4 linked regions of the Arabidopsis thaliana genome follow. The protein of the gene in region 2 interacts with the protein of the main gene of each other region in a pairwise test. Each region holds a gene or a part of one and is shown on either strand. Other genes may lie near its edges.

Region 1 (8,187 bases), on a different chromosome or scaffold from region 2:
TCGCTTCTACGTTTAAAGCTTTGTGTTTGTCTTTCTTGTTCATTGTTGTTGCAAGTCGTCCGACTATCAGACCAAAGGTTTTCAACGTCCGACGCTATGGTTCTAGACCAGACGGAAAAACTGATAATGCCAATGTATGTACACAATAACTTTTCTAATAAATGTTAATAGTTATTTATTTAGTTTTGTTGATTCCCAATTTATATTGGCTTCCAAATACATTGAAATAAGCTCAACTCAATATCAAAATACATTTAAATAATCTAATAATATATGTTGAAAAAACATTTTGATATGATAGTATATATAAATCTTCTTGACTTTCTACATAACAATATATGGATTGGTATTATATTAACCAATTAAATTTAACTAAATCTTTTATCAACTTCTATGGATTTTTTTGTTTAATAATTAACCTATCTTATTCTTAACATAAACAAAATTAGGCATTCACAAGTGTATGGAAACATGCATGCACAAGGATAAGTGGAAGTAGTAAAATCTACGTACCGAAAGGAACATTCTACCTCGGTGGTGTAGAGTTTGTGGGTCCATGCAAAAATCCTATTGAATTTGTCATCGATGGAACTTTATTGGCTCCTGCAAACCCTAGGGACATTAAGCAGGACACATGGATCAACTTCCGGTACATCAACAATCTCTCTATCTCCGGTTCCGGTACACTTGACGGCCAAGGAAAATACTCTTGGCCACTCAATGACTGCCACAAAAACACCAATTGTCCTAAACTAGCTATGGTACCATTTTTTCTTACGCTTTTCTTTTTATAATATATTTCTTCTTTGAGAAAATATGATTATATATTATTTACAATGAAACTGTATTATACAATGGTAACAAGTATATTTTGATCATTTATTTTTGAACCATATATATTTATTATACACAAATGAATTGAAGTATCTACTCTTTGTTTCTAGTGATATGATAAAATTTGAAATGTTTACAGACTATGGGATTTGCATTCGTGAACAACTCAAGAATCAAAGACATAACATCACTCAACAGCAAAATGGGACACTTTAACTTCTTCTCTGTCCATCGCTTCAACATTACCGGCGTCACTATAACAGCTCCCGGTGATAGCCCAAATACTGACGGTATCAAAATGGGTTCTTGTAGCAACATTCACATCTCAAACACAAACATCGGTACCGGAGATGATTGTATTGCCATTCTCTCTGGGACCACTAACCTTGATATCTCTAACGTCAAGTGTGGTCCTGGACATGGGATCAGTGTTGGAAGCTTAGGGAAGAACAAAGACGAGAAAGACGTAAAGCACTTAACGGTAAGAGACACAGTTTTCAACGGCACAAGCGATGGTATTCGGATCAAGACTTGGGAATCTTCGGCTTCAAAACTCGTAGTTTCTAACTTCATATACGAGAATATTCAGATGATTGACGTTGGAAAACCGATCAACATTGATCAGAAGTATTGCCCTCACCCACCTTGTGAACATGAAAAAAAGGTTAACATTATATGCATGAACAAGCTTGGTTATTTTTTTCTTCAATTACAATGAAATATAAAACAAAAGACAACTTGTGTTTCCTTGTTCAGGGTAAGTCTCACGTTCAGATCCAAGACATTAAGTTAAAAAACATATATGGAACGTCGAATAACATAGTGGCAGTGAATCTACAATGTAGCAAGAGCTTTCCGTGCAAGAATGTTGAACTAATTGATATTAACCTAAAGCATACTGGACTCGAGAAAGGTCATTCCACAGCGATGTGCGAGAATGTTGACGGTTCTGTACGTGGTAAGAATGGTTCCTCAACATTGTCTAGATTGACTCAATGGTCCATCGAAAAAATAACCTTTTGGGTTATACATGATATTTTTAGTTACATATTATTGCCTAATTTTTGTATATATTTTATGTTTTATGTTCTTGTTTATATGATATCATGATCACACATACAAATTCTTAATGAATAGTTCATTCTACAACAAAACAAATCTAAGAAAGAACGGTTAAATGTTTAACTTCCAATAATTTTACCATCATACTTAGTAACAATTACACTTTACTAGAATCAAACTAATAAGGAAAATCTCAATAAATATCTTTTAAGGTTTGTTCGGTTTATTGTAACTTTTATTAAATAATTTTAATTTAAATGTTTATATAATTCTAATAAACAATTGAAAAACTATTATCTTTTTCTTCTCATACTTACTTATAAAAATATGTTTAATTAAAAACTATTTATAAGTGTTTTTAATTTAAATGTGCTATTAGAAAATTTCCCTATATTTAAATTATTTATTGATGTCATAAGTTTTTGTGAATTAAAAATCAAAGCTCGAGCCTCCTCCATTACCCAAAATATTGGCAAATAGCATGACACAATAATGTATATCATGTGTTTAGGCAACGCAAAGTTCACAAAATGCCGTCGTACATCGCAAGGAGAATTTTACACCGGAAGGGCAACGACTTCCATCACCTACTTACTAAATCGCCAAGAAGGACCTTGACTGACAGATCAGAGAGACATCGAGATTGCCGAAAAAGATGAAGAAGAAGAATATAATTAAGAAACATTTTGATTGTTCACATAGAAACAATTTGAAATTTTTATTATCACCTTTGTATTTTCTTGTACTTTTCGTTTAGAGACCGCAATTTGTTTTTTATGATATTAAGAAAGTGAAAATTTTCATTAATTATTTAATCTAGTAAGTAATTATATATTCATTTTACTAGCATGTTGTGATTTATGAATAAAAAACATCAAGTAGAGTAATGGAGATATGCAATTTTAGGCATGCAAATGCGTGTAGCAATTTAATCGTTATATCTTATGAAAATTTTGAATAAATACAAGTTTACAAAATAATGTAAATACTAAAGTTTAGTATCCATCAAAATAAAAATAAAATCCACAAAGAAATCATTTCGAAAACATTTTGGTTTTATGCAATTTAAATTAAAACCCATTAAAAAAAGAAACAAATTATAGGTAATCTTATTGGCACATTTCCCAAAATTAAGATTCTGTTTTAATGAAGAGATTAAAAACTAAACAATATACACTCAAAAAATCATCATAACAGTATATTAACCAATCACGATCATTATAAAGAAGCCGCCCATATTTAGTAGTTAACTGATAACAATAATCAAGTGCTTTTAACAGTCTGTTGAGACATGTTAACTCTATATAAATAGATAAAATGTGCGAACACTTCTCATTGTGTCTTACACTATAAGAACAACTATTATTAAACAGCACCTTTTTGTTATATCTCCATATACCCAAACAAAAGAATAAGATGGTCTCCATCGCTTCTACGTTTAAAGCTTTGTGTTTGTCTTTCTTGTTCATTGCTGTTGCAAGTCGTCCGACTATCAGACCAAAGGTTTTCAACGTCCGACGCTATGGTTCTAGACCAGACGGAAAAACTGATAATGCCAATGTATGTACACAATAACTTTTCTAATCAATGTTAATAGTTATTTATTTAGTTTTGTTGATTCCCAATTTATATTGGCTTCCAAATACATTGAAATAAGCTCAACTCAATATCAAAATACATTTAAATAATCTAATAATATATGTTGAAAAAACATTTTGATATGATAGTATATATAAATCTTCTTGACTTTCTACATAACAATATATGGATTGGTATTATATTAACCAATTAAATTTAACTAAATCTTTTATCAACTTCTATGGATTTTTTTGTTTAATAATTAACCTATCTTATTCTTAACATATACAAAATTAGGCATTCACAAGTGTATGGAAACGTGCATGCACAAGGATAAGTGGAAGTAGTAAAATCTACGTACCGAAAGGAACATTCTATCTCGGTGGTGTAGAGTTTGTGGGTCCATGCAAAAATCCTATTGAATTTGTCATCGATGGAACTTTATTGGCTCCTGCAAACCCTAGGGACATTAAGCAGGACACATGGATCAACTTCCGGTACATCAACAATCTCTCTATCTCCGGTTCCGGTACACTTGACGGCCAAGGAAAATACTCTTGGCCACTCAATGACTGCCACAAAAACACTAATTGTCCTAAACTAGCTATGGTACCGTTTCTTCTTAAGCTTTTCTTTTTATAATATATTTCTTGTTTGAGAAAATATGATTATATATTGTTTACATTGAAACTGTATTATACAATGGTAACAAGTATATTTTGATCATTTATTTTTTAACCATATATATTTATTATATACAAATGAATTGAAGTATCTACTCTTTGTTTCTAGTGATATGATAAAATTTGAAATGTTTACAGACTATGGGATTTGCATTCGTGAACAACTCAAGAATCAAAGACATAACATCACTCAACAGCAAAATGGGACACTTTAACTTCTTCTCTGTCCATCGCTTCAACATTACCGGCGTCACTATAACAGCTCCCGGTGATAGCCCAAATACTGACGGTATCAAAATGGGTTCTTGTAGCAACATTCACATCTCAAACACAAACATCGGTACCGGAGATGATTGTATTGCCATTCTCTCTGGGACCACTAACCTTGATATCTCTAACATCAAGTGTGGTCCTGGACATGGGATCAGTGTTGGAAGCTTAGGGAAGAACAAAGACGAGAAAGACGTAAAGCACTTAACGGTAAGAGACACAGTTTTCAACGGCACAAGCGATGGTATTCGGATCAAGACTTGGGAATCTTCGGCTTCAAAAATCGTAGTTTCTAACTTCATATACGAGAATATTCAGATGATTGACGTTGGAAAACCGATCAACATTGATCAGAAGTATTGCCCTCACCCACCTTGTGAACATGAAAAAAAGGTTAACATTATATGCATGAACAAGCTTGGTTATTTTTTTCTTCAATCACAATGAAATATAAAACAAAAGACAACTTGTGTTTCCTTGTTCAGGGTGAGTCTCACGTTCAGATCCAAGACATTAAGTTAAAAAACATATATGGAACGTCGAATAACATAGTGGCAGTGAATCTACAATGTAGCAAGAGCTTTCCGTGCAAGAATGTTGAACTAATTGATATTAACCTAAAGCATACTGGACTCGAGAAAGGTCATTCCACAGCGATGTGCGAGAATGTTGACGGTTCTGTACGTAGTAAGATGGTTCCTCAACATTGTCTAGATTGACTCAATGGTCCATCGAAAAAATAACCTTTTGAGTTATACATGATATTTTTAGTTACATATTATTGCCTAATTTTTGTATATATTTTATGTTTTATGTTCTTGTTTATATGATATCATGATCACACATACAAATTCTTAATGAATAGTTCTTTCTACAACAAAACAAATCTACGACAGAACGGTTAAATTTTTAACTTCTGAATCCATTAGCTAACTAACAAACTAAATCAAGCTATCCCTAGACAATAGATTCAAAACCAGATCAATCCACTTTCATGACAATGATCCTCATAACTTTATCACTTCCTAATCTCAACTTTCATTGATGAAACATAATAAAGCAGGCTTTAAACACCAATCTATTAAAATCAATAAGCAGTCTAAACATCCAATGTCTTGGGCTAGAGTCTACAAATCTCTGAAATTAGTTGGTTCAGACATTTCATCAAACACTTATTAGGTGGAGAAAGTCTGAAATCAATTTTCAATTGATCAGAAAGAAAATAGCATTAAGAACTCCTAAAACAGAAGGGAATCATGCATATAAACACTTAGCTAGCTAAAGAACAGAGGAATCCACCTAAACCTAACCCATCCTCAAGAACTCTGAAGAAGACTACTCAAGATCAATGAAGAACATCATAGAACAAAATTCAGAAAAAATCATAAAACCCAGAAATCATTATAAACTTAGCAAATGATAGATCTCAATAAGATAAACAAGTTTGCAGAAGAAATGAAATTCAGATTCTCAACACAACAACCAGAAAATGCAAAAAAAATCTAAGAACCCTAATATCCAGCGAACAAATCAAAGATATTTTGGATAAAAATATAAGAGGTCTATTTATAGGCAATACTAGGATGCCCTAATTGGGAAAAAGACAAAATGGGAAAGTCGGCGTTGCACCACTCGGGTCTTGGTCGAGTAGAAAAGTCGAGTAGCCTCCTTTGGTCACATCACTCGGCTTTAGGCCGAGTACCTTCAATTGAGCAGCTTCCCTTCTTCCTCATGTGCACCACTCGAGCTCCTGCCGAGTAGATTGGCCGAGTATAGTTCTTCCTTCTCCCTTGTGTGCTCCACTCGATCTCCAGCCGATTAGATATCCCGAGTATACTCCATGTCCTTCCTTGGATTGCACAAACTCGAGCTAGTCCACTCCTTGTGATAGAAACGCCCAAATTGAATCCAAAAGTACCTGATTCACATGTAAAACACTCCAAATGCAAGTATGCTATGCAATGCAATGCAAAATGTGAAAAGGAAGGAAAATGAACTAAGAATGTATGAAAAGAGACATGAAACTAAGCTAAATGCATGAAAAACAAGGGCTGAAAATGGTTAAAACCTAGTGTTATTAACACCCCCAAACTTAGCTCTTTGCTTTTCCTCAAGCAACAAATAGAACTAGGCTAGGAGTGAGGTTCGAAGGTGGGGATTTAGAACCAAAATATGCATGTAAAATAAATGGTCTCAATGTCCATGTTGGTAGTTCTAGAGTGCTAGGTTGAATGATCTCTACTTAAAAACTTTAGCCATCTTCTTTACAACACGACCTAACCATTAACTTAGTCTATTCAAGCATTCAAATCAGCATACTCCCTTTAACATTCATTAAGCAAGAACCATGGATCATACTATACAATCCATATTAAACTCATTTGACTAAGGGTAAAGGGTCAAGAGACAAAAATGGTCCTTTAAAAGAATAAGCTTTAGTAACAAGGGATCTCTCAAGAATGATTAAGCTTTAGTAGAATGCTAAAGGTAAGTCCCAAATTATGCATACAAAGATAAGATCTCATCTACCCAAAGTATAATCAATGAAGATCTAATGGAAATCCCATCTCCCATCCCAATTAAGAACTTAACTCTACCCTTTGCATTCATGATCTTTTAAACTCTTTCTTAACCCATTCTTTTCTTTTTCTCTTAACTCTAGGAGAATCTTTTTTTTTTCTTCGATATTTCTAGCGGGTTTGGCTTTCTTCAGCACTAAGGTTCTGTTTTTAATCTCTTTTAAGCTTAAGGTTTTTACCCTTTTTCATTAGCTAACAATAACCCAATCTTTTTATTTAACAATCTCAAACCCTTTACTAGACTTTTTCTAACTTCTTTAGCTTACTTCTCCTAAAATCCTTTTCCCTTTTATTGTAAACAATGAAACCCAACCCTTTTTCTCATTTAAACTCTTCCCAACCCTTAGTATAAGTATCCACCTAGTCTTATCTAGTCCGGATAACGCGAACTAGAACTATATGAGATACTATCTTTGTCGTTACGAACCTAACACTTTCTACCAAGCTTAATCGAAATAAGACCTAACAAACACTCACAAGTGATATATGACTTGAAAGAAGGCTTAGGTTAGGGTGTGAGGAAACTGGTCTAAAGATGAGAGTCAGCTATTTGGAGTGGTGAAATGAATAAGAAGATCCAAATATTTTAAGGGTAACCATGGAAATGCAGGAAGAATTTGTACATAAAAAGTGGTATAGTATTTCTTGTATAAAGATCTTACATAAAAAGGGAAGAAGTAATCTTTTGTGTATTTATCAGAAAATAACAATGTTTAATATTACGATTTATGGTGAAAATGTAGAATCTCTAGCCCCCTTTTCTTGGAGTCTTCACCTCTCTTTTATGGTCTCTTTCCTTCTTCCAATGTGCCATTATTTGGCTATTAATTATAGAATTAATTCACAAAATAACTTCCACAATCAATTCATAAACTTGAATGACAAGTTTATTCCTTTGACCATAGTCATTAATCCATGAATTAAACTACAAATTAATGTCAAGATTTGACCACCTCCTTTGTGCAACATGGTTCTTCTTGGGCTTGAAAACTGATGGGCCTTCGAAATACTTAAGAGATCCAGTTTGCGGGATCCGGTATCAACATAAGCTCCCCAGTTCTTCGAGTAAGTTGACTTGGTCGGAGGACCAATTTTCTTGTTAAGGTGCCGGAGATGAATTTGGACTAAGTTCCTGCAAGCTGATCTCGAACTCGCCAAAATGTATGTCCAAATTGTTGCCG
Region 2 (8,192 bases):
GGAGAAAGCTCTGAATCAAGCGGTGGCAGTGGCAGCAATGTGTTTACAAGAAGAGGCAACGGTACGGCCACTCATGAGTGACGTTGTAACCGCTCTCGGTTTCTTAGGAACCGCTCCTGACGGCTCAATCTCTGTTCCACACTACGATGATCCTCCTCAGCCGTCGGATGAAACGTCCGTGGAGGATTCAGTGGCAGCGGAAGAACGGGAAAGAGCCGTGGCTGAGGCAATGGAGTGGGGAGTTGCTTCAAGAGCACATTCCCGGAACCCAAGTGCTTCTTGATTTTTATTTTTTACATCTTTTTTTGTCTTGTTGATTTTTATTTTTGGTTTGGTCGTTGTTTACTTTTTACGTTTTTTGGCTTTCAATTTCAGTTTCAGAAAGATAGTGATATAGAATTTGTTACCGTTTCTCTCTTTGTTAATTATGTTCTGTTTTGTTTGAATGTGTATATTCCAGCTGAGTTTTCATAGCTCGAGAATTCAATCTGTTCTTATTCTTGGTCTCGAGCTTAACATTATAAATTGATAGTTGTTTTGTACAATTAATTAATTTTGTGTTTAGTCAAAATAATTCATAATTTTATCTCTGGTTGTACAGAGAGGGGCTAAATAGCAATACCATAGCTTACCAACACATAAATCTATACATATCTTCATGAATTCATTCAACAAACGTAGGCTTCCAACCAACAAAAAAATAATATATATATATTCAGTTTGTTCAATCACAGAATTAGCAAAATCTTCCAAGCACATTTGCTTCCACAATATAGTACATGAAGCCAGATTCCGAAACTCTGAAGCCAGTACAACGCAAGAACACCGAGCAATATCTACTCCAGGAATTGACTCTAGTATCTTTATCTTTAGCTCTGTTGACTGTTGGTAATAAATTAATCAAGTTTCGTCGAACTGGGTTCCTTGTATGTCTAGAGCCTGTCGAAGACTGTTCCAATCATTTGCCGGATCTATGTTTTGACGAGGCTGCATGATCAATATTGAAGAGACTAGAGAGAGTTCGTGTCTCTTGAGTCTTGACTAATACTCAGCAAAACTACAAGAAGTCTAAATAGAAGAACAAGAAAGTCCTTTAATACGACATTCAGGTTATAGGGTTTCTTTCGTCTTGTGTATTAAACAAAATTGGGCTACAAATGTTTTTAACGATATTGGGCCGATAATAAAGCCCATATTCATACTCACATCCGCCAATCTCTCTTCTCTCTCGCTCTCTCATTGGCGCTGTTTATCTGAATTCGATACCTTTTTGTTTTTTCTTTGGTAAATAAATATCTGATTTCGCTTTTGAATCGCCATTGGTTGAACAATTTGACGCCGATCTAGATTTCTGTCGCTGTGAAGGTAGTGTCCTGTTTTTCCGATCAATTGGTTTGTTCCGATCGTTTCTCGTTTACGCTTTTTGTTATCCTTGAGAAATTTTACGTTGCAAGAGAGATCTTTGATTCATGGGTGTTGAAGCATTCGTGTTAAAATGTATGATTGATCTTAATCAGTGAGATCGGTGAGCTCAAGTTCTGTGTTTTGTAATTGAGATTCGAAGAGGTATGTCAACAAAGTTATGGAGATGGGTGTTAGGGCTGATATACCTATTTGCCGTTGCCACGATTTGGATTGCGGCTAGTTTTGTAGTCCAGTCTGTGGTGGAAGCTGGTGTTTCTCCGTTCTTGATCACTTTCATTTGTAATTCATTGTTCGTTGTTTATCTTCCCCTTTTTGAGATTGGTCGATATCTGGAAGATGCATATGGGAGTTTATTGTTCTGGAGAAGCAAAAGGTCGCATTTAATGGAACTGGTCGAATCAGAGAAGGCTGTTTTGCTTGGAAAAGATGTTTCTGGTGTGAAATCAGATGCTACTGAGAGTTCAGGGCTTGTTGTGAGAGAGCAAGAGATTAGTGAGGGTGGTAATGGGATTGAATCTGGATTGGAAAATATAGAGCTTGAGATTGATGCTAGTGTCAATGTTAGTGATGGAGCTAGTGGAGTTTCTAATAAAGGATTAGATGAGAAGGGTCGTTGGACAAGGATGCGAGTTGCTAAAGTTAGCCTTGTGATTTGTCCGTTTTGGTTTTTGGCGCAGCTTACATTTAATGTCTCTCTCAAGTACACAACAGTTACGGTAAGAACATATTGGACACCCATCATCTTGTTGCTTATTCTGAATCTACTAAATGTTTTGCTGAAGTTTTTTTTTCATTTTTGTGTGTTTGCAGTCAAATACCATATTAAGCAGTGCATCAAGCCTTTTCACCTTTCTTGTTTCACTAATATTCTTGGGTGAGAAGTTCACATGGTTGAAACTCTTCAGCGTTCTTCTTTGTATGTCTGGGACTATAATTGTAAGTATGGGTGACTCAGAGTCCAAGTCAAATGCAGTAGCTAAGAACCCTCTTTTGGGAGATATTCTTTCGCTGGTCTCAGCGGCGCTGTATGCTGTCTACATCACTCTTATACGCAAAAAGCTTCCGGATGATGATGAAAGAAACGGCCGGGTCAGTATGGCTCAGTTCCTCGGGTTTCTTGGTCTCTTCAATTTCTTCATTTTCCTTCCTCCTGCTCTAATACTCAACTTCACAAAGCGAGAACGCTTCAACGCACTTACCTTGAAACAATTTGGCCTAGTTGTTGGCAAAGGTATGCAAACACCATCCCTTATTTCCGCTATTGTCTCCTTGAAGCTATTGGTCAATAAATCACATTTTCTCATATCAATGGGAATTGATGGCACAAGTAGTAAATTAGGATTGATGTAGGAATGCCGATTTGAAAGACTAATGTGTGTTTCATCACAACTGCAGGTTTGTTAGATAATGTGCTTAGTGACTATCTGTGGGCAAAGGCAGTACTATTGACAACAACCACTGTAGCTACAGCTGGGCTAACTATTCAGGTCCCATTGGCAGCCATTGTAGACAGCTTATCAGGGAACAAACCAAGCTTCACCGACTACATTGGTGCTGCAGCTGTTATGGTTGGCTTTGCAGGGATTAATATTCCCTCAGAGATGTTTTGCAAATCCAAAGAGACTGCTATTGAGTTAGAACCTGGGACTTCGTTCACAGATCCTCCTCCGATTGTGCCAGATAGCATAAGAGTAGATTCTTCACTGACTGTAGTATAAGCCTAAATTGTTCCAAATTCAAAAGCCACAATTCTTGTAAAATCTTTTTTTTTTCTCTTGTTTACTGCTCTTTTCCTCTTTTATGATAATTAATTTGTAGATCGTTGAACATAATACACGAAATACAGCTGAAGGCAATAGTGTAATGAAATCGTTCAAGATTCTGGACTTAGTTTCAAGACAGTAAAAATAAAATGTTTCATCTCTCTGTTATTGCACTAAGCGTTTACATTGAGATGTCCGTACTTTTGCATGACTCTTTTTGTCGCCATAGCAGCTGCTTCACTTGCTCGTAATGTGCCTTGTGCCATTAGAGCTGCAAATTCGCTTGTAATCTCTTCCTGAATCTTGGCCCTAGCATCACCCAACGGGTCGTCCTTGACCTTCTCTTTACTAGCTGATGGTTGAATAACAGGTGGCACTTTCTCAGTTGCAGTTGAGGTTTCTGCTGCCTCGAGCTTAGGAGCTATCACAATTTGTGGGCCATCATCTTTACTAAAAGCTCCAAAAGGTTGTGGCTGTGGCCTAAACTGTGGAACTTGAGGAACAGCACCAGCCTTTAGAGTTGTTTCGAGGCCTTGCAACATAGGCACTGCAAAATGGGGATATGAAATTAGAACAATAATGTAGCCGAGAAAGAAGAGGTTCAAGGAAGGTGTCGCAAGTTATCAGCGACTTACTTATAAGACCACCCATGGGACTGTTTAGAACATCATTAGGAAGCTGGAGAATGTAGTCAGGAATCCCTTTACCCACCAAAAACTGAGCGACCTCGTTGCTGAAGTTGTTGCAGTTGTGAGTAAGTAAATTGTAGGATTCAGCAGTGTAACGAGGACTGATTTCTTCCAAGTACATCTCGAATACATCTTTAGGCACATGTGATAGACCCAACTCTATCGTTCGAATTGGTGTTCCATATGGAGTTCTTCCAACTGGTAAATGTTGTATCCCTCCTCCAAAAAAGTACTCATTCCCATAGACAACTATTCCTGTATGCCTGGAAAAAGGATACATAACTCACATGTTATCTACCTGGTTTAACATCAAAGTAATATCCTAAAAGAGTAAAAAGCAAAACACCTAAACAATAAGCAGGTTAATTCATATTTCTCAAGGAAAACCACACTCGGTTGATATTAAAAGCAGAAGCTTAGACACATTTACATACACCAACCAGTCATGCCAATATCTTTTACATTGGGTTAACTGCAACCATGTTCAACAGCTAAAACAATAATATCAAACCCTATGAATGGCACTACACAGGACAAATGTTCAAAACAAATTTGGCATATACAACACAACAGATCAAATACGAACATGTGACAGAGATTTGACTCACCATACACCTTCAATAACCTTTCCCAGGAGTGATTGTGAGAGCTGGCGTGCCAAGCCTTGGCTTAAATCATAGACATTCAATGTTACCTTATGCGCTTCCTGCCATATCACATATATCACCAATTTCAATCAAACTAACAACGAGGCAACGCAATTAACTACGAACCAGAAATGAAAAAAAGAGAATCATACCTCAGCCATTGTCAAAGTCCTTGAAACACGTTAACTACCTGAAGAAAAAAAAAATCAAAATCAAAATTTACAATCGCAATGATCTAAGACCTGAGCAACAAGAATGATTCCGAACAAACTATATCAGACCTACAAAAGAATTTCCGCAAATCTTAAGACCAAATCCATAATCGATTCCGAACAAAAAAGAACTAGTATCCGCAAATAGAAAATCCAAATCTAGAAACAATCGGGAACACATAATTGATAAAATTGATAGCGAGAAAGCGAGGGAGATTTGATCACGTACAAACAAAATACGTAAACTGGCCGCTCGGAAAATTGTCGATATGCGCAAATCTGAAAGATTTCTTGGATAGCAATGGTTCAGAGAGGTTTGTTATAAAGGCAAGCTATTGGGAGATTCGAAGATTCCTCTACGACGTCGTTTAAGCTACTTTGACCCCTATACCGACGACCGCTTTTATTCTGTAACCTTCTAGAAAGTACCATCCAATAAGACATTGCCACGTCTATTTTCCCCGTCCCGGTTCAACCGACCAGAATCTTTGAATCAGAATTACAGCAGTTAAAAATTGAAATCCTAATTTATCTATTTGTGATTGCAGGAACAGTTGGTCTTACAGCGATCAATCACCGTATTGTTTATGTATGAACTTTACCGATGTATACCAACGATGCGTTTCATCCAAATCTAAGGTTTTCACAACATTATTTATTCATAAAAATATTTTAAAATTTTAACAGTAGCATCTTCTTGTTAATAACCCTAATTAGGACAGATTCATGAACTGCAACTCCCAAAATAAATCTAGAACAGACGCACATCAACAAAAAATCGAATGAGGACAAAAAAAAAAGGCAACAAAAGATTTAAAAAACGACTAATCTTACGGAGATAACCATTCTGGTTAGGCAAATAAAAGCCTAATCTTGAGAAAAAAGGTCTATATAGAAAAACAAATGAAGAAAAATCAAAAAGTAGCACTTCTTTATCCAAAACAACACATTATGGCCCAAGGAAGAAGGCCGCCATGATCCTGCTTAAGTAGAAGATTTTTGAGCTCAAGAGTTCTTCAATGGTTACAAAGAGGTGGCATCCTAGCACCCGAGTTGTCTGAAAGTAAAACCGCTTCATAAGATGCGTCGAACATGATGTGGTACTTTAAGCATGTTATTGGAAGTATTATGATGGTTTTTTCCTTACCATTGTGAGCTATCTTAGTTTTGTTGAACTTGGCGGTGAAGTTGTAGAATCCAATCGACATAACCACTCGAACCGCCCATCTGGTCCTCAATGAGATTTCTGAGGAGAAGGAAGCCTTCTCGGGGTTGTTCTCCTTGTCTCACTAGAAAACACATGGGGTGATATGAAGGATCACTCTCCCTCAGTTTCTTTACCAACCTCATTAGCTTCTTTGACATCCCATTCTCTTGCTCTTGAAAGGTAACCTAAGAGACCCAACACGAAGAAAGACAAGGGTTTCACACATATTATCATGTTTCAAATTCTTGAAAAACACTAATGATGCATATACATCATCGAATGTACCGCCTGTTCATATATTCATATGTAAGGATATATGTGGATAAAAATACATACCCTTGAGAGGTCTGCTGCAAAGTCAACCCCAAGAAGATTTTTAGCAATGTCAGGTGAAAGCATCCGGCCAAACCACAAAACTAATCGAAAACCATCATCATATATGTAAAGGCCTCTAGAATCCAAACTCTCTGCAGCCAGCGGCAATCTCCTTAATACGTCTTTAAAGTCATCGTGGGCTGCTGATGGCTGCAAGCATGTGAATTCACAAATTATTTACTATTTCTTGAACACTGATGTTTGATAATGGACATTGAGATAAAAATACACAAACCTTTAAGAGCCATTCGTCAACACGGAATAAATTGGGATACAAAAGCTTCAATAGCTTTTTGACAGGCAGAGCCATCATGGTGAAGCCTGCAGCACAGCGCTCATCAAGAGAAGTATCAGCAGGTCCACCTAGAAGAGGAGTGGACTTAGTAATTGCCAATCCGTACAATGGCAAGAACTTCAGAGACTCTGGGTATACTAATCTGGACCCCAAGCGATGCTGCACCGCGTGAAGATTACGATATTCTTTGAGGGCTTTAACAATCTTTTGCTGTATTGCATTCCGTGCATCATCCAATTTTGCGGACAAAGATTTCTCAATTGCTGCAGAATTTAAATTGTCATTAAATAGTATCAAAAGTAGCATATGAAAAAAATTTGAATATAGCTTACCTAATCTAGCATATAAAGACACAATGGAACCAGTGTCTGCTTGTCTATACATCTCCCCAAGATCTGTAACCACTGGTGCAACAGATGTGTGTACCCTTATACGTCTCTCTCCACAAGAGGCGGTATATCTTAGTTCTGTTAAGGATTACTAAAAGCTAAATGATGTGTTGTATGTTTAAACTCAAGTATGTTTAAAATATCAACTATTCAAGGATACAGCAAAGCCACTTGGAAATACACAGTCTGGGATGTTAGCAAAGTCTCCTCAAGAGATAGCTGCATTGCATACGCTTTGTCACAGTCAACAGCAGGAAGAGCAAGCAGGTCAGTAGACCTTAGCATGAAGTTCCCATGGTAGGACGAGAAACGAATTCCTGCATGCAAAAATATATAAGATCACAAGTAGCACACCAATGCATTAGCAAATATTGACATAGCAGGTAGCAAAAACGAATATATTATCATAAACTATTAAACCTTTTCCACATCTTATTCGCATAACCGCCTCCCACGCAGTTTCCCTTGTAAGGTCTCTAGCAAGCTCGTGTCTTAACTTATCTCCATGAACAGATGATTGGAAACCTGGATAATAGTACACCTGTCCTCCAGTGTATTTTGCCAGAGTCCCTTCAAGAAACCAAAGAATTGTAATTACAGGCTGATAAACTTAACTATCACCCATGACTCCAAACAGCTGAAATAAAAAACATCAACTGATAACCTCAACGTTCACATACCTAATGAGGCAATATCAGTGTACTTATCACTGAATGCATAAACATTAATTCCTATCTGGAACTTGGTACAATCAGCAGCCATTTGTTTATAGAAGGGATCTTCAGCTACCCTTAATGCATATTCTTTGTCAGTTCCATAGACACGAGGATCATCTCCCCGCAACTTTAACCTCCCAGCACCAAGAGAAGGTAATGAGTTCTGGAAAATTAGTAACTTGCCCCCAAGTTGGTTCTGAAATAGGGAGAGAAACAGAGTCAACAAACTGATCCACATTTCAGATGAGGATCTAAATAGGACACTCAACATCAAATGAATTATATGATATTATCTTGATATGTCAGGATGGTAACTAACCATAACCATAAACGCCGCTCTGAGGGCTGGGCCAAAAGCTGATTCCACATTGAAATTATCTTGAAACATCAAAGGTAGACTGTCCAAAAAGGCGTCCACCACAGTTCTAGATTCAGATAGATTTACAAGCAGATCGTCTGGCAATGGGACAAAGA
Region 3 (8,208 bases), 4.4 Mb from region 2:
TACGATCTCGCACATTCTTCGCGATTCTGACTGTGTTTTATTCTATATTTCGTTGTTGTCTTGCTTATTGCAACAAAGGTGACGATGATCATCTGATTCATCCTAGTCATAGTTTACATGTCATAAAAGCCACTGGGATCAACCCTTCCGTTCTTTTATCAATTCCTGTCGTATCTTTCAACGCTAATGCCTTCAAAGACAATATCGAATGCGTCGTTTGTCTATCAAAGTTCATCGACGAAGACAAAGCCAGGGTTTTACCTAGTTGTAATCATTGCTTTCACTTTGATTTTACTGACACATGGCTTCATTCAGACTATACTTGCCCTAACTGCAGAAAGAACGTTGAAGAAATCCAAAATCACGAACTTTCTCTTAGTCCAAACCCTAATTCCGGTTAGGCATACAAGAAGATTTGAGGATGGTTGCATAGAGATGCAGTGGAACGAGATATAAAAATATGGTTTTTTCAAAACCTCTGTTTTAAACAGGTGTTGAGTATAAGGCCCATATCTAATTCTTTTTTTTTTTTGGATTCACTAGTCCTGACGTTCGGTTATCCAAACGACTATCGGTTCCATTCGTTTCGGTTATATAATTTAGTATTCATTCAACTAATTTAAAATTTTGGTTTGGTTTTGGTTCAGTTCTTTAAGTTTTATCATTTAGTATCCATTCAAATATTTTACTTTAGATATTTCAATTATTTTATGGATATTTTTCTTTTATTTTTGAATATTTTTATGATTTTATATATTCTCAAATATTTTTATTATTTAGTTTATAAATAACTTTTGTTTTGGATATATAATTGTATTTTATATCGGTTTGGTACCGATTCTAAAATATCTATTCTGTTTTTTTTCGAATCTTTGGTTTAATGTAATTTTTTTTTTTTTTTACTTTAGTTCCGGTTCGATACATCCGATTCGGTTAATTTACATACTTTTAAAATTTACTGTAGAACAGTAAAACGGCTCGGTTAATTTGCATAGGCCTAGAGTTTACTGTAGAACAGCTGACTCTTTCATGACAGTACAAAACGGTTAATCATATTATCACGTAAATATGTTTTTGTTTTTACCCAATGATTAAAAAGTCAGTTATATTTTAAAAACCCTAGAAGGTGAAATAATTAAATGTAAGTGGCTAAATGCGGTGGAATCAGAGCCGTCGATCTCAAAAAACAACACGGCTTAAGCACGTAAATGGGCCCCACGTTTCGGCCACTTCCCCAAGACCCATTGTTTCAGCCTTAAACCCATTAACTCACTTCTCTCTCTCTCTCTCCGCCTCCTTTTAAGACCAAATCTCTCTCTACCTCTATCTCTCTCTCCGCCATTACCAGAGCTCAACGAGCTCTCACTTTCTTTACGCACACTTGTTGGAACGAAATATATTCATAGAGAAGAAGAATCTCGAAACTCTTGAATCTAAAACAACTCGGAGACTCTGTTTTCCCTTTCCGGAGATCAGATCGGATCAAGATGCAGACAACCAACGGCTCAGATTCGACGTTGGCAACTTCCGGAGCCACACCGCCGAATCAACAAACCCCTCCTCCACCTCAGCAGTGGCAGCAGCAGCAACAGCAACAGCAACAGTGGATGGCTGCCATGCAATATCCACCAGCGGCGGCGATGATGATGATGCAGCAGCAACAGATGCTGATGTATCCTCATCAATATGTTCCGTATAATCAAGGTCCTTATCAGCAGCATCATCCTCAGCTTCACCAATACGGGTCTTATCAACAGCACCAGCACCAGCAACACAAGGCTATTGACCGTGGATCTGGAGATGATGTCAAGACTCTTTGGGTTGGTGATCTTCTTCATTGGATGGATGAGACTTATCTCCATTCTTGCTTTTCTCACACCGGCGAGGTATTATCTTGTTCATTGGTACTCTGTTTTGGATTTAGATTGTTACTTGTAAATATGGTTAAAAATTCATCCTTTTTGCAAATCATTGACATGTTCTTGTGTTTTGATTCATTGTTAAACCAAGTAGCTATTTTAAAAAACTAGTTAGTTGGATTAGATTAGATCCAATGGATATAGAAACAAATAGGGTAATGGAGAACAACTTTGACCTGAAAAGGACAGGACAAGTTCATATTTCGTTAGGCAAAAAGTACTCTTGTACCTTGCCACGTTTAGTTAAAACTTTTCTGGTATGAAAGAGAATGATTGCATAAGATTTTCACTTTTCATGAATAAACTTATATCCAGTTATACATGTGTTCTGTTTTGTTCTTTCTCTGAAGTTTCTTGTTTTTTTTTGTGATGAGCAGGTTTCTTCTGTGAAAGTTATACGTAACAAGCTCACTTCTCAATCAGAAGGGTATGGGTTTGTTGAGTTTCTTTCACGTGCTGCAGCTGAAGAAGTTCTTCAGAACTATAGTGGTTCAGTGATGCCAAACTCGGACCAACCCTTCCGTATAAACTGGGCATCTTTTAGTACTGGTGAAAAAAGAGCAGTGGAAAATGGTCCAGACCTATCTGTTTTTGTGGGAGACTTGTCTCCAGATGTCACTGACGTTTTATTGCATGAGACCTTTTCTGATAGATATCCTTCTGTCAAAAGCGCCAAAGTTGTGATTGATTCCAACACCGGCCGGTCCAAAGGTTATGGTTTTGTGAGGTTCGGTGATGAAAATGAGAGGTCAAGGGCTTTGACAGAAATGAATGGAGCTTACTGTTCGAACAGGCAAATGCGTGTAGGTATTGCAACTCCCAAAAGAGCGATTGCTAATCAGCAACAACATTCTTCACAAGGTTTCTTTTCATACTTCTCTCTGCAACTAGTTTTACCCTCTGATTCTTTCTATTTAAGTGTACTAGTTTTAAGCGAGAGGTGAGCCAGTTTTAATCCATAGGACTCTAGAGCTAACAACTTGTTGCATTCAACAAAGTTTTTGAACTATAAAGATTTTATGTTTTCATTGGAATAGCTGTGATTCTGGCTGGTGGACATGGATCAAATGGTTCCATGGGTTATGGCTCGCAGTCTGATGGCGAATCAACTAACGCAACAGTGAGTTGTCATATTTAGTTATATGTCAGCATCATTCAAGCTCTATATGTTCTTGCTGCTCATCTTAGGTTATTCTACTGCAGATATTTGTTGGCGGCATTGACCCTGATGTTATTGATGAAGACCTCAGACAACCTTTTTCCCAGTTTGGAGAGGTTGTTTCAGTGAAGATCCCAGTAGGGAAAGGATGTGGATTTGTCCAATTTGCTGACAGGTGCTGTCTTCATCTAGTTAGTAGTGTTGGCTTGGCAATCATATGATTGAGCAACCTGTAGGTGCTTATCTCATAGCGAGTAATTCAAAGCGACTTGCCTTTGGTTTTGACAGGAAGAGTGCTGAAGATGCTATCGAGAGTTTGAACGGGACAGTCATCGGCAAGAACACTGTCAGACTCTCCTGGGGACGAAGCCCAAACAAGCAGGTAAAATTTCACTTTGGAGTTGATGCATTCTATCAGTAGAAGAGTAAATTGAGTATTTTGCTAGGGTCAAACTTTGTGAATAGTTGTTTGTTTTGTTATTAAAAGTAAAGTCAGTGGTTGACAATAATAGCTGGTGGAATCTAGCACCTTCCCTTCGTTTTCTATTTTGACTTATGCAAGTGGGAGAATATCTAATACATGTCTCCATGTCCAACTTGTGTCACCAACCCTGAACATGGTCTTATGTCGACATGTTTTGGTCTAGGACTTAACCAAATTGGTTCTGCTGGCAATAGATTTCTTTTTAGTTCTCATAATGTGTTCAACTTGTGGCAGTGGAGAGGAGACTCAGGGCAGCAGTGGAATGGAGGATACTCACGAGGACATGGTTACAACAATGGAGGAGGATATGCTAACCACCACGACTCCAACAACTATCATGGGGAGAATTGAAGAGACTCATCAAGTGATCATCTTCATCATGGTTTCACATATCAAAGCTAAAACCTGTAGTCGAAAGAAGAATTTTGTTAGATGGATTTGATTTTGATAGACTTGTTGTTTGGAGGAGATTCAAAAATTTTGGTTACTGGTTTGTCTCAGACTAATATAAATGGTTGCAACTTGTTGGATCAAAATTCCGCTTACCTTCTACGAATTGCTTATAAGCCCAAAACTTTCTGAAATTAAACAAACAACCCCAAAACTTTAAAATTATATTTATTAACTCACATTAATTTTAAATTTTTAGCTATTAGCCCTTTCTCTCTCACTTCTTCAGTTTTTCTTCTACTCTCAACCTCTCCGGAGAGAAAAAAATCGGAGAGTGAAGATGGAAGAAGCTTTCATGGCGATGCTCTCACATCTTCTCCATCTCCAAAACTCATTAGATCCTACAAGCACTCTCTTCTCTTCCGCATCCACATCTTCACAGTCTTCAACCACACCTTCCTCCCTCCTCTCCACTTCCTCCGCCGCGCCTTTACTCTTCTTCACTCTCGCATCTCTCCTCTCCTTCCTCGCCGTCAACAGATCTTCAACCGAATCCTCATCTTCCTCAGAATCACCTTCCCCTTCCCCTCCTCCGCCTCTTGCCGACGGCGATTACTCCGTCGCTGCCTTCCGTGCCCTAACCACAGACCACATCTGGTCACTCGATGCGCCTCTCCGCGACGCTCGTTGGCGCTCATTGTACGGTCTTTCCTACCCAGTCTTCATCACCGTCGTCGACAAGCTCAAACCATTCATCACCGCTTCAAATCTCTCTCTCCCCGCCGATTACGCCGTCGCTATGGTCCTCTCTCGTCTCGCTCATGGCTGCTCAGCTAAAACCCTAGCTTCTCGCTACTCACTAGATCCATACCTCATCTCCAAGATCACAAACATGGTCACACGTCTCTTAGCCACCAAGCTATATCCAGAATTCATCAAAATCCCCGTCGGAAAACGGAGATTGATCGAAACGACTCAGGGATTCGAAGAACTCACCTCTCTCCCCAACATTTGCGGCGCCATTGATAGTACTCCGGTGAAGCTCAGACGCCGCACGAAACTAAACCCTAGAAACATTTACGGTTGCAAGTACGGATACGACGCCGTTTTGCTTCAGGTTGTTGCTGATCACAAGAAGATCTTTTGGGACGTTTGTGTGAAAGCTCCAGGTGGAGAAGACGACTCTTCTCATTTCAGAGATAGTCTTCTATATAAGAGGCTTACTTCAGGAGACATTGTTTGGGAGAAAGTTATCAATATTAGAGGTCACCATGTGAGACCATACATTGTTGGAGATTGGTGTTATCCTCTTCTCTCATTCCTGATGACTCCATTTTCACCAAATGGCTCTGGTACGCCACCGGAGAATCTATTCGATGGAATGTTGATGAAAGGAAGGTCAGTGGTGGTGGAAGCTATTGGATTGCTCAAGGCTAGATGGAAGATTCTTCAGAGTTTGAATGTTGGTGTGAACCATGCTCCTCAGACTATTGTGGCTTGTTGTGTGTTGCATAATCTTTGTCAGATTGCTAGAGAACCTGAACCGGAGATTTGGAAGGATCCAGATGAAGCTGGAACGCCTGCAAGAGTTTTGGAGAGTGAGAGGCAGTTTTACTATTACGGGGAGAGTTTGAGGCAAGCATTGGCAGAAGATTTACACCAGAGACTCTCCTCGAGGTAAAAGACATGAACAGATCTTGGTCAAAAAATGGAGCTTTCTATCTTTGTTATCATGTAAGAAGCAGATGCTTTCAAGTGTTTAGAACTTTAGATAGCATTGTAGATTCAATCCTCTTGAGAAGAAAGTTTGAGGATTCAGAAATGTTAAAAAGCTGACTTTGTTGCCTAGCCATCCCAACTGTCAGTTTTGTAACTTAGGAATGGGTTTATGGTTTGTTCTGTAACACCTTTTGAGAATGAAATGTATGACTTCTATTGATATGGATTATGGAATCTTGAGAAGCAAGTTTTTCCGAATTTGAAATATTAATAGCTCTCTGTTACTGTAAGTTTTGTGACTTAGGAATGGGTTTTTATGATTTGCTTTGTGGCACATTGTGAATGGAATCTGAATCTTTTTCCTGGAAAAAATGGAGACAGCCAAATGAAAAGAGAAAGGGATGTTCTTAATATCTGTCTTCCATGATTTGGAAGAACACGACTGTGGATTATCATCTTATTATACAACTCTCCAGGCCTGTCGGATTTTTCTGGATACTCTCTTTCTTTGTCGGAACTTAGCATTCTTTTTCTAACACTATAAACATAGGAATGGGTCCTGAAAAAAATTCCAATTCCCAACCCCAATCCACCCATTTGCTTCTTGCAGTTGTATGTTCTTCCTCTTTCGAATCCGTTATAACACCGAGTCACTTTCCTCATCGCGTTTTCGCTAAAGATTGTCGAGTCGAGACACCGTGCAGCAGTTTGACAAAACCCAAGAAACTCAGCTTCCCGTCAGTATGTCTTATCCAGTCATTTAGAATGGTATGAACCGGGATGGATGATCCAACACCAAGTTCCTACAAAACATTTATGTTCCCTTCGTTTAGGAATTAGCTGAATAAATTGTTAAGCATGACAGAAGCAAGTGTCGAATTTCTTATAAACTTACAGAAGCGAGTTCTTCGATGACGATAACTCGGTTTCCATTCATTTCAAATAGCTCATAAGCATGACGAATGCTCTGCTCCCAACAATCAAGAGACTCATGCTGATGAACGCTAATGGAAGCTGCACAAAACTCTTCAAAATCCATCCCTTTGTATTGAAGTCCATTTAACTGTCATTTCCCAACACCAAACTTTCGTTAACCAACCTTGGATTGTATCTTAAACAGATTAAGCAAAAGGACAAGAACAGAAAGGAGACAATACCAATGCAAGAAAGTCCGGGATCCGTGATTCCTTCATTGCTTCTGTTGCATTTGTCGCAAGTGCCTGTCCAACAGAAATAAATCTAGCTTTGAGCTGTTTGCTTTCTACCAGAGAGAGACAGAGAGGAAGAGAAGGCACATACCAGTCTGATGCTATCTAAAGTGATGAGGCCATTTTTGTTGGGTGCTAAGTGTGCAAACTGCGCTTTCAGATAAAGAAGTTCATCGGTAGTTAATGTCTTGGACAGAGCCTGGAGAGAATAAAAGAGTTAGCAAACTAGATACAAAGGTAATAAATATCAAACACATCCTTAAATGTTGTTTGGAAACAGTAAAAAAGGTTAGAAGCAAAATGTACCATCAAAGCAGCTTTGCGCAAAGACGAAGATCTCAAGTATGCTTTGATCTGCTTGAAGATCAGAATATCAAATGGGATATCTATTTTCTTATAACCCGCGATCCAAGGATGCACTGTAAAAACCGGAAAAAAACGTGGAGTAACTTCAACTGGTGATTCATGAAAAGCTAGAAACAGAAGATAAATATAGAAAGATGTGGATATTTTAGAGATTACTGACTCAAAGCTTGAGATGCAGTCATTCTTTTCCGAGGGTCCTTGTACAATAATCTCTTAACAAAATCTTTTGCCTCAAAGGATAACGAAGGCCAAGGAGGTTCATCAAAACTGGGATCAGCTTTTAGAACTGCTCTGAAAATTCCTGATTCAGTTCTTGCCCAAAAAGGACGGCTTCCACATAGGAGAATGTATGCTATGACTCCTATGCTCCATACATCCGCTTCTGTGGTATAAGATCTGTGTAGAACTTCAGGGGCTACGTAATATGCACTTCCCACTATATCATTTAGTCTTTCGTCTGGTCTGACAAAGTCCGATAAGCCAAAATCTATGACTTTCAACATAGAATTCTCCTCCTTGGAAGTGTACAAGAAGTTCTGAAACATGAAAGTGTTTCAAATGTGAGATTGGTATTCAACTAAGACAATATTTCTTTTGGGTTTTGAAAGGAAAAAGCAAAGACAAAAAGTGCGGTTCACCTCTGGTTTTAGATCTCGATGAACAACTCCTTGGAGATGACAGAAAGCTACGACGTTAAGGATCTGTATAAGCACTGCTTTTGCATCATCTTCAGAGTATTTTCCTCCCCTGTAAGAGAAGTAAATTTGAAATAGTTAGACAGCCAATAGAACATCTCTAAGAAGGATCTCTGACCATAAGTTAACAAATGTCATAACAATCTTTAAAAGCAGACCTTGCTAGTATCCTGTCAAGAAGTTCACCACCTCCACATAACCTGAAAGTTGAAAGAAAGTAAATGTTTATTCACAGCTAAACATTTTGAAGTAAGCCAAGTCGGGAAAA
Region 4 (8,383 bases), on a different chromosome or scaffold from region 2:
CTTCACACACAAAGTACGCACCACCACAGGATTGAAAGAGAACGAGAGAGCAAGCCATTGCAGGAAATGGCGATTCCAGTGACGAGAATGATGGTTCCTCACGCAATACCATCGCTTCGTCTCTCACATCCAAACCCTAGTCGCGTTGACTTCCTCTGTCGCTGTGCTCCATCAGAAATCCAACCACTTCGGTCTCTGCTCTCTCTTGTACTATTTCGAGTTTACGTTGTTCGAAACTGAGAACTCATTTGTCAAAATATGTTTGCATTTTCCTTTAGGCCTGAACTCTCTTTATCTGTCGGAATTCACGCAATCCCTCATCCAGATAAGGTAACACCAGACCAAAGTCTCTGTTTTTCTTCTTTGGATGTAATGAATTTGGATTTGCTTAGAGAATATTTATGCAATTAAAATCGACATCTAGTGTCGAAATTATATAGGTAGAGAAAGGTGGTGAAGATGCTTTCTTTGTAAGTAGTTATAGAGGTGGAGTCATGGCTGTTGCAGATGGTGTCTCCGGGTAAGCTTTAGCTTTTGGTTATGCTAACTTTTGAGTTTCTTTGTGGGTTTATCTTAATGTTGATAAAGTTTATATTTTTTTCTGTCTCAGTTGGGCTGAACAAGATGTTGATCCTTCCTTGTTCTCTAAAGAACTTATGGCTAACGCTTCTCGTTTAGTTGATGACCAAGAGGTCAGATATGATCCTGGTTTTCTCATTGACAAAGCTCATACCGCAACTACTTCTAGAGGTTCTGCCACAATGTGAGTGAGATTTGATTGTTATTCTCTTCAAAGATTGGTTTTTGTTCCCTTTTTGGATAGCTTGATGTCCCGGTTATTGATGAAAGCAGTATTCTAGCTATGCTTGAGGAAGTGGGTATTCTCAAAATAGGCAATGTTGGTGACTGTGGACTTAAGCTTCTTCGGGAAGGTACTACACTGTAACCTAAGATGCTAGATTGTTTTCATGTTCAGCCTTTGACAAAGATCTTCTTCTTTCATTCTCATTTTCAGGTCAGATTATTTTTGCCACTGCTCCACAAGAGCACTATTTTGACTGTCCTTACCAACTAAGCTCTGAGGGGTCTGCTCAAACTTATCTAGATGCATCGGTAAATAAATCCTTACCACTCTTCATGATTTGTGCTAGTATTGTACCTTTGTATCATTTTTTTTGCATTTCAAGCAGTTTAGCATAGTGGAAGTACAGAAGGGAGACGTGATCGTGATGGGTTCAGACGGACTTTTCGATAATGTGTTTGATCATGAGATCGTTTCTATAGTGACCAAGCATACAGATGTTGCAGAGTCATGTATGTATATGTATATACCATCTCTCTTGATTTTTAGTAAGTTACATGTTTTTTGGTATAACCATTACAGCAAGGTTATTAGCTGAAGTGGCGAGTAGCCATTCAAGAGATACAGAGTTTGAGTCTCCATATGCATTAGAAGCAAGAGCCAAGGTAAGATTTTTAACTTGATCTAAGAATGAATTTTACCAGTTCACGCAAAGTATATCTGAATCAACGTATATGTGCAGGGGTTTGATGTTCCTCTCTGGAAGAAGGTACTAGGAAAGAAGCTTACAGGTAAATAAACAACAATGTTGATGCATTATCCTGACATATTATACTAAACAAGAGTAGTTTCTTAGTTGAGATCTCTGGTTCTGAAAATTGCAGGAGGGAAGCTTGATGATGTCACTGTGATCGTTGCCAAAGTTGTTAGCTCATGAATCACTCTGTTCATGATAAGATCTTCTCTTTATTCTTTTTGTACAAGTCCTTGTAAGAAACTTGTTCTTCACAGAAATTGATAAATGGTATTTCAAAGTTCAAACAATAAGAATCGAATCTTTATCATTGACCTTGTGAATGGACACTCTTTAAGCTCATCTATCTCTTTATAGTATCTTTCTCATTAAAACAAATAAAAGTACAAAATTTCTCTATCAATGCAAACCAGAAAAAAGGCCTTGGGGTTGTTGTAACTCTAATCTGATAACATTATTGCGTGAAGAAAACAAATAAATTATACAAACAGAGATCTTCTCTAAGAGCTAGTGTTAATACTAACCAACCAGTAGCTAGCTCTATGAAGAATCAATGACCTGAATCAGGCAAGTAAATTATGCCAAACGCATGTATGTTTGTGTCTTTTCAAGCTGCGTTTGCTTCACCATTGAGATCTTGAAAGAAAGATTTGACTGTTTCATAAGTGGACCAGCAAATCGCAGCTGCTGGAGCATGGAAGAGCATTCTTGGTAGCCATCCTCTAGCAAGTCCTCTATAACCGTCTTTCTTCACTATTGTACGGAACACATCGCTTATTGAACTGCTCTTGAAACGGTCACAACCACACACACCCTGAAACATCACCACAAACAAACTTCTCAGAACAAACAAAACAACCCAAATCCTATGAAATAGCTATTGACCAAGTATTCTAAACCACAAATATAGAAACATTATCTATGCGACTTTCACATGTAAATTCAGTAATATTAAGTTTTATGACCATAGTTCTAACAATGCTTGATGCAATCTACATGTTACCTATAAAATCATACTCGTGAAATCACAAAATATCCAAAGAGAAGAAAGAAGATATCTTTCTTCATTCAAGTGATCTATAGGATCAAGAGACAACTACTTAAAGTAGCTTGGCCAATCTATAACCACATTAGCTATCAGATACTTAAAAGTCAGTAGCTTTAGAGATATTTCAATCACCTGACATTGCAACTGCGTCTTAACAACATCAAGCGGAGTAGTTACAGCAGCCGCTAACCCACCAGCCGCAGCTCCAGCAGTAGCATAAATCAACCAACCTTCCTCATCCTCTGCTCCAACAGCATGCTCAGGCAACATCTCCCTCAAACCTCTCTTAACCGCCTCATAAGTAGTGAAATGCACAGCGGTAAACGGAGCATTCATCAACACAGTAGTTCTATACGAAGCGTAAAAAGCACCAAACCCTTCCTCACGCGTTACTCTCTTGATACAATCCCAAACTCCTTTATAAGTTCCATTCCCAATTTGCAACCTTTGCTTAACCATATCCATTGGAGTAAACACAGCATCACTAGATATAGTAGCGAAAACACCGGAAATAGCGTGTGCAGCAGAGTTATTAGGGTTTCCACCGGATAAAAACTTCTTAGAGACTTCATAGAATGAGAAATAAACAGCGTGAGCTGGTCCAGCACCAAGTCCCATAGCCCAAATACCTCTATATAAAGCAGAAGGTCCATCGGTTTTGATAATTGAACGGAAAGCTTGACGGATTCCGATTGGTTTAATCGGACATGAACGAAGAGCTTGCATATGGGTTTTGACTGTATCTACTGGAAACATAGCCATGTGTTCGACTGAGCCAGCGATTGAACCGGCGACCATTAGTTGCCAGAATTTAAGAGTTGTGTTTTGAGCTGGAACGATGATTGCTGGATGAAAATCCGGTGGTTGTGGGATTGGACGGAGATCGGATTCTGGGAATTTGGTTGTTGCTTCTGTTGCCATTGTTTAGAATTGATTGAGAGAAAGGTTTGAGCTTTTAGGGAGATTAGGAGGAAGATGAATCTGAAGGAGGAGAGGTTTGGTTAAATTAGGGTTCCGAGAAGATTGGAGAAATGACCAAATCTGGAGATTTCTCCGACCAGAGAGAGAGGATGCGGCGGTTAAACTAAAGACAAAGCATGGGAGAAACCTCTGCCTTGTCTTGTGGGCTTTAACATCTTTTTCCCCAAGTAAAAATATATTTTTTGCCTTTTTACGTTTTTGCCTCTTTAGTGTTTTTTACCAAAACAAAAACGTACTTTTTTACTTTTTTTTTTTTTTTAAATCGTACTTTAATTTAAGCGATATGAACCTAACCAAAAAAACTTATTAGATTATGTTTATATTATGAATACGAATATTATTTTTTTGTCATCGTAAATTTTTAAAACTTTGGTAGAATTTAAATGTACACAAGTGGAAAAAAATTTATCCCTTGAAAACTAATAAGTGTTATCTATATTATTAATTGAGAAGTATTGTATGAACTACAACATTGTAAGGGTAGTTTAAAATTAAGTAAATGAATTTTTGCATGGGTAGTTTAGTAAATTAACAATCACTACAACAAAATAAATATCTTGGATTTTGTTCTTTTAAAAAATCGACTTTAAAATCAATATATTCATAATTACCCAATCCCTCGATTTTTAAATATACAAATTATTTTTAAATATATTAATCCAAGATGTACCACATGTCAATCCCTCGATTTTTTTATTATATTACAATAACAATATTTAAAATAACAAAATAATTTTTCATTTTACGGAATGAAATTATATGGTGGGATGAGTTTGAGTTGATATTAATAAAGGACGATAATCTACGAGTGAAATTTTAGAATTAATAATTATAACATAATTATATATTCTTAAACATTAAACAAAATAAACAATATTTACAAAATAACTATATCTTAAAATTTGAATTTTTAGTTACAAAAAAATCGACCAAAGGTGTACCACGGAGAAAATTTTACATTATATCATCTAATTGATCAAATTTCAAACAAAAACAATCAATTTATATATACATCAAACTAACAAAAATACACAAATTTTCTAAATATCTCTATATTATTCTACAAATCGAAACAAATCTAACAATCTATTTACTATGCAAAATACAAATAAAATATAAATAATATAAATTACAAAAAATAGCTATTTTATCATAAATAACACTTTACACTTTTTATGCATATTATAATTTATACACTATAATATCTTTCACTAAAAATATATTCCAATACATTTTTAAAAATATGAAACCCCGCACGTATACGTGCGGGTCAGAATCTAGTTATTTATAAACCGATAATTCTTAAAAACGAAGAACTCAAATCAAAAATAAAGTAAAAAAAAAATTGTCCTAAAGCATTAGATATCAAGTAAAATATTAAATTTACTGCAAAATATGTTAAAATATTGGTAGATAAAACATGAGATGTGTGAAAATCATTCCTATTAAGATCAGATTTTAGAATTTTATGCAGAATTGGAGTATTTTCTCTAACAAACTGAATAAAATCTTTACAAATCTACAGCTACAGCTTACACTTACATCCAATATTCTACAGCAAATAATCTACAGCTATAGTGTAACCAATCAGCCAGTAAGCTTTACCAAAATCAATTCATTTCATAAATTATTTTCTATATTTGTCTCCTCACAATTCATTTCCAAAGTCAAACAAAAATTAGGCACACACGAGATTAAGCTCTACCAAAGAGTCTAACAAATGAACTTATAAATAACAGTTTTACAAACAATCTTAAATCTCTACAAAGTTTGAATCTTTAACAAACTTATACAAATACTAATATAGACTTGAATCATTAACAACAATAGAACTCACACGATCTTAGTAATATCTTTAATGAAAGCATCGATGTTAGCATCAGAAGAACCACCTTTCGCAACCGCTCCACGACATATCTCACTGAGATCACAAGTCCTTCTTCTCATCTCTTTCCCTTCTTCACTCTCTCCATCCATAAACCTTTTTACCAATTCCTTGATCTCATCACTCACTATCAACAACTCCATCTGCTTCTTCCTCTCGATCCCCATTCCAACTCTCCACTCCTCAACAATCATCTTAGCATTCAGAAACTGATCCCAAAAAACAGGAAATGTAAGCAACGGTACTCCCGAACATATCCCTTCCAATGTCGAGTTATACCCGCAATGCGTCCAAAACCCGCCTATAGCCGCATGACACAAAACACGTAGCTGATCACACCAGCTCACCACAACACCCAAGCTACCTTCAAGAGCCTCCTTAAGCTTTAACTCACCCCCACGAGCCACCCAAAAGAACTTAACTCCAGCCTCTCTAACTCCTACAACAATCTCCTCCATCTGAGCTTCGGAGACTGAAAGAAAACTCCCTTGAGATATGTAAAGAACAGAGCTTTCAGGTTGCTCATCAAGCCACTTAAAGTAATCAAGTTCTCTATTCTCATTTCCAACGGATAGTTCTTCCAAGGGTATTAACGGACCAGTGGAGTAAACCGGGAAATCAAACTTGGAAGTGAAAAAGTCAATGGCTTTTGGTTCGAGCTCATAAGCAGAAGGGAAGAGAAGATACTTAGCTTTATAAAGCTCACCGAAAGACTTTTTGAATATATTGAAGACTTGATGACTATAGCCGTGTAAGATCTGTAAGTCACTGAGTCTTGTCGGAGATAAACCGGGGATGTAATCAACAATCTCGTCTAGTTTTGATTCTGGAAACAAACCCGGATTCAGAAATCACTAATTATGGATGAAAGTATTGAACTTTACGGTTTTGATCAGTAAAAATGGGAACTTTGTAACTACCTGATGGTTCGATCGGAAAATGGCCGTGACTTGCGAGAAGATCGGAGTTAATGAAGAGGGAGAGAATCGTGGCTGACGTAGTCCAGAAAGAAGCCACCGGAATATTCCTTTTTGTGCCTACACGTACTGCCCAAATGATGTAAGTATCGGCGATGATTGCGGTGGGAGGAGAGTTTAGACGGTCAAGTAGCTGTTCGAACGGCTCTTCTAATCTGGTGAGGACGGCGTCGATGAAGGCGATGAAGTCGTTGGCTCGGACGAGCTCGGAGGGAATGATGTTGGGGAGAGTGGCGAAATGGATCCGGTTAGGTTTCGGGTCGGACCCGATGAACCCGAGCCATTCTTCGGTGACGACGAATGTGACGGTGAGGTTTGGGTCTCGCCGGACGAGGCTTTTGCAGAGGTTTAACATTGGGTTGATGTGGCCTCTTCCTGGCCAAGGCATGGCCACCACGTGGCGGACTCCGAGTGGCTGAGGTTTGATTGGATTCATAGGATGTGGAACGTGTTTCTGGTTACTGTGACTTTGTGGGTGAGAGAAGTGAGGACTGAGAAAGCTGCAGAGTGCAGAGGATAGCTTTTACAACAAACGTGGTCCAATTGTTTAGGCCATTACCCATAATGTTAATGATTGTGTCTACTTCTCTTTCAAGCTGTTTTTGCTGATTATCACATTTGTTGTTTTTTATAACGTTTTTAGACACTCAAGTGACCGGTGTGCTTTTTAAAGAAACAAAACCTAATCCCAAGAAACAGACTGTTTAAGAAAACAACACATGGCTAATTTTTTTTTTTTTTTTAATTAAGACAAATTAGGGAGATTGTTATCATTCTGTTTATAACTAACAGAATAACAATCTAGTTGACAAAAAAAATCTACATAGTTGTAAATTTTTTGATAACAATGTGTTTTCTTCAGTGCTGTTAGGTTTAATTTCATTCATTGGACTCTTCTCCTAATGTAGTCCACTCGATTATGTTAGAGGCAGAGTTCTCAGGTCATGTTCGGTTGTAATATTCTTTTTAGTTGCAGTTTAATAAATTGCGAGAGACAATTGTCTATTCTCACCTACCAAAAAAATAAGATGTATGATCATTTCGTGAATTGTAGAGATAGGCCTCATAATAAATCCCGTTTTAAGTTTTGCTTCAATTTTGTTCTCTTTTTCTTTTCCTTGTATTTTTGATGTGTTTTGGGTATTTTGTGACGTCTTGGGGTTTGATTAATGAGAAAGCATCATTTTAGATTATAAGCAAGCAAAATGATGATGCATAATGCATAAGCGGGGAGCTTTCCCACCATTAGAATTTCTATAAATTTTTGACATATGGTAAGAAATTGATTTAGCTATAATTTGGTGGTGGTTTTTACTTTTTAGTCATTCAAAAGATACATATGATTTAGTGAGCATGCCATTGAGCCTTACATTGTATTGAAACAATAAAACCTCTTTGAGCCTTAATTTGTATTGGTAATATGCCGAACGAACTCATCGATGTTTACATTAGACGAACCGCTTTTCGCAACAGCTCCTCGACTGATTTCACTAAGGTCACAAGCCCTTCTTCTCATCTCTTTCCCTTCTTCACTCTCTCTATCCATAAACCTCTTCACTACTTCCTTGATCTCCTCTCTCCCTATCAACAACTCATTCTTTTTCGTCCTCTCGATCCTCATTCCGACTCTCCAGTCCTCAACAATCATCTTAGCGTTCAGAATCTGATCCCAAAACAACGGAAACGCTAGCATTGGTACTCCTGAATATATCCCTTCCAATGTCGAGTTAAACCCGCAATGAGTCCAAAACCCGCCTACAGCTTTGTGACACAGCACCCGAAGCTGATCACACCAGCTCACCACTACACCTAAGCTACCTTCAAGAGCCTCCTTAAGCTTTAACTCGCCCCCACGAGCCACCCAAAGAAACCGGACTCCACTTTCTCTCAGTCCTTTCACTATTTCCTCCATCTGAGCTTCCGAGACCGAAAGAAA

Evidence for each region.
Region 1: the proteins of AT3G07090 (region 2) and AT1G43080 interact in a protein complementation assay, tested with the Arabidopsis thaliana proteins (one large-scale study listed by BioGRID).
Region 3: the proteins of AT3G07090 (region 2) and AT3G19120 interact in a two-hybrid assay, tested with the Arabidopsis thaliana proteins (one large-scale study listed by BioGRID).
Region 4: the proteins of AT3G07090 (region 2) and AT2G30160 interact in a protein complementation assay, tested with the Arabidopsis thaliana proteins (one large-scale study listed by BioGRID).

Annotation. Positions count from the first base shown.
Region 1 is NC_003070.9:16,210,954-16,219,140, reverse strand, and holds AT1G43080 (Pectin lyase-like superfamily protein), read left to right. Parts: upstream 1-3,312; coding exon 3,313-3,456; intron 3,457-3,771; coding exon 3,772-4,083; intron 4,084-4,295; coding exon 4,296-4,820; intron 4,821-4,912; coding exon 4,913-5,146; downstream 5,147-8,187. Other genes in the region: AT1G43090 (Pectin lyase-like superfamily protein), read left to right, coding at 1-134, 450-761, 974-1,498, 1,591-1,944.
Region 2 is NC_003074.8:2,239,792-2,247,983, forward strand, and holds AT3G07090 (PPPDE putative thiol peptidase family protein), read right to left. Parts: upstream 5,038-8,192; 5' UTR 4,966-5,037; exon of another isoform or gene 4,806-4,965; intron 4,715-4,805; 5' UTR 4,686-4,714; coding exon 4,677-4,685; intron 4,584-4,676; coding exon 4,486-4,583; intron 4,141-4,485; coding exon 3,824-4,140; intron 3,736-3,823; coding exon 3,362-3,735; 3' UTR 3,207-3,361; downstream 1-3,206. Other genes in the region: AT3G07070 (Protein kinase superfamily protein), read left to right, coding at 1-283; AT3G07080 (EamA-like transporter family), read left to right, coding at 1,569-2,141, 2,236-2,656, 2,821-3,143; ERMO2 (Sec23/Sec24 protein transport family protein), read right to left, coding at 5,898-6,128, 6,280-6,468, 6,554-6,876, 6,946-7,073, 7,163-7,319, 7,423-7,572, 7,683-7,914, 8,038-8,192.
Region 3 is NC_003074.8:6,607,103-6,615,310, reverse strand, and holds AT3G19120 (PIF / Ping-Pong family of plant transposase), read left to right. Parts: upstream 1-4,172; 5' UTR 4,173-4,292; coding exon 4,293-5,633; 3' UTR 5,634-5,961; downstream 5,962-8,208. Other genes in the region: DNF (RING/U-box superfamily protein), read left to right, coding at 1-401; RBP47B (RNA-binding protein 47B), read left to right, coding at 1,488-1,886, 2,297-2,780, 2,957-3,039, 3,123-3,253, 3,367-3,460, 3,797-3,913; AT3G19100 (Protein kinase superfamily protein), read right to left, coding at 6,331-6,474, 6,567-6,734, 6,829-6,891, 6,971-7,078, 7,186-7,298, 7,406-7,781, 7,884-7,992, 8,099-8,140.
Region 4 is NC_003071.7:12,873,158-12,881,540, reverse strand, and holds AT2G30160 (Mitochondrial substrate carrier family protein), read right to left. Parts: upstream 3,743-8,383; 5' UTR 3,526-3,742; coding exon 2,737-3,525; intron 2,371-2,736; coding exon 2,164-2,370; 3' UTR 1,880-2,163; downstream 1-1,879. Other genes in the region: PBCP (Protein phosphatase 2C family protein), read left to right, coding at 67-191, 279-330, 441-520, 611-763, 853-932, 1,016-1,113, 1,191-1,314, 1,385-1,467 and 2 more; AT2G30150 (UDP-Glycosyltransferase superfamily protein), read right to left, coding at 5,419-6,296, 6,391-6,883; UGT87A2 (UDP-Glycosyltransferase superfamily protein), read right to left, coding at 7,850-8,383.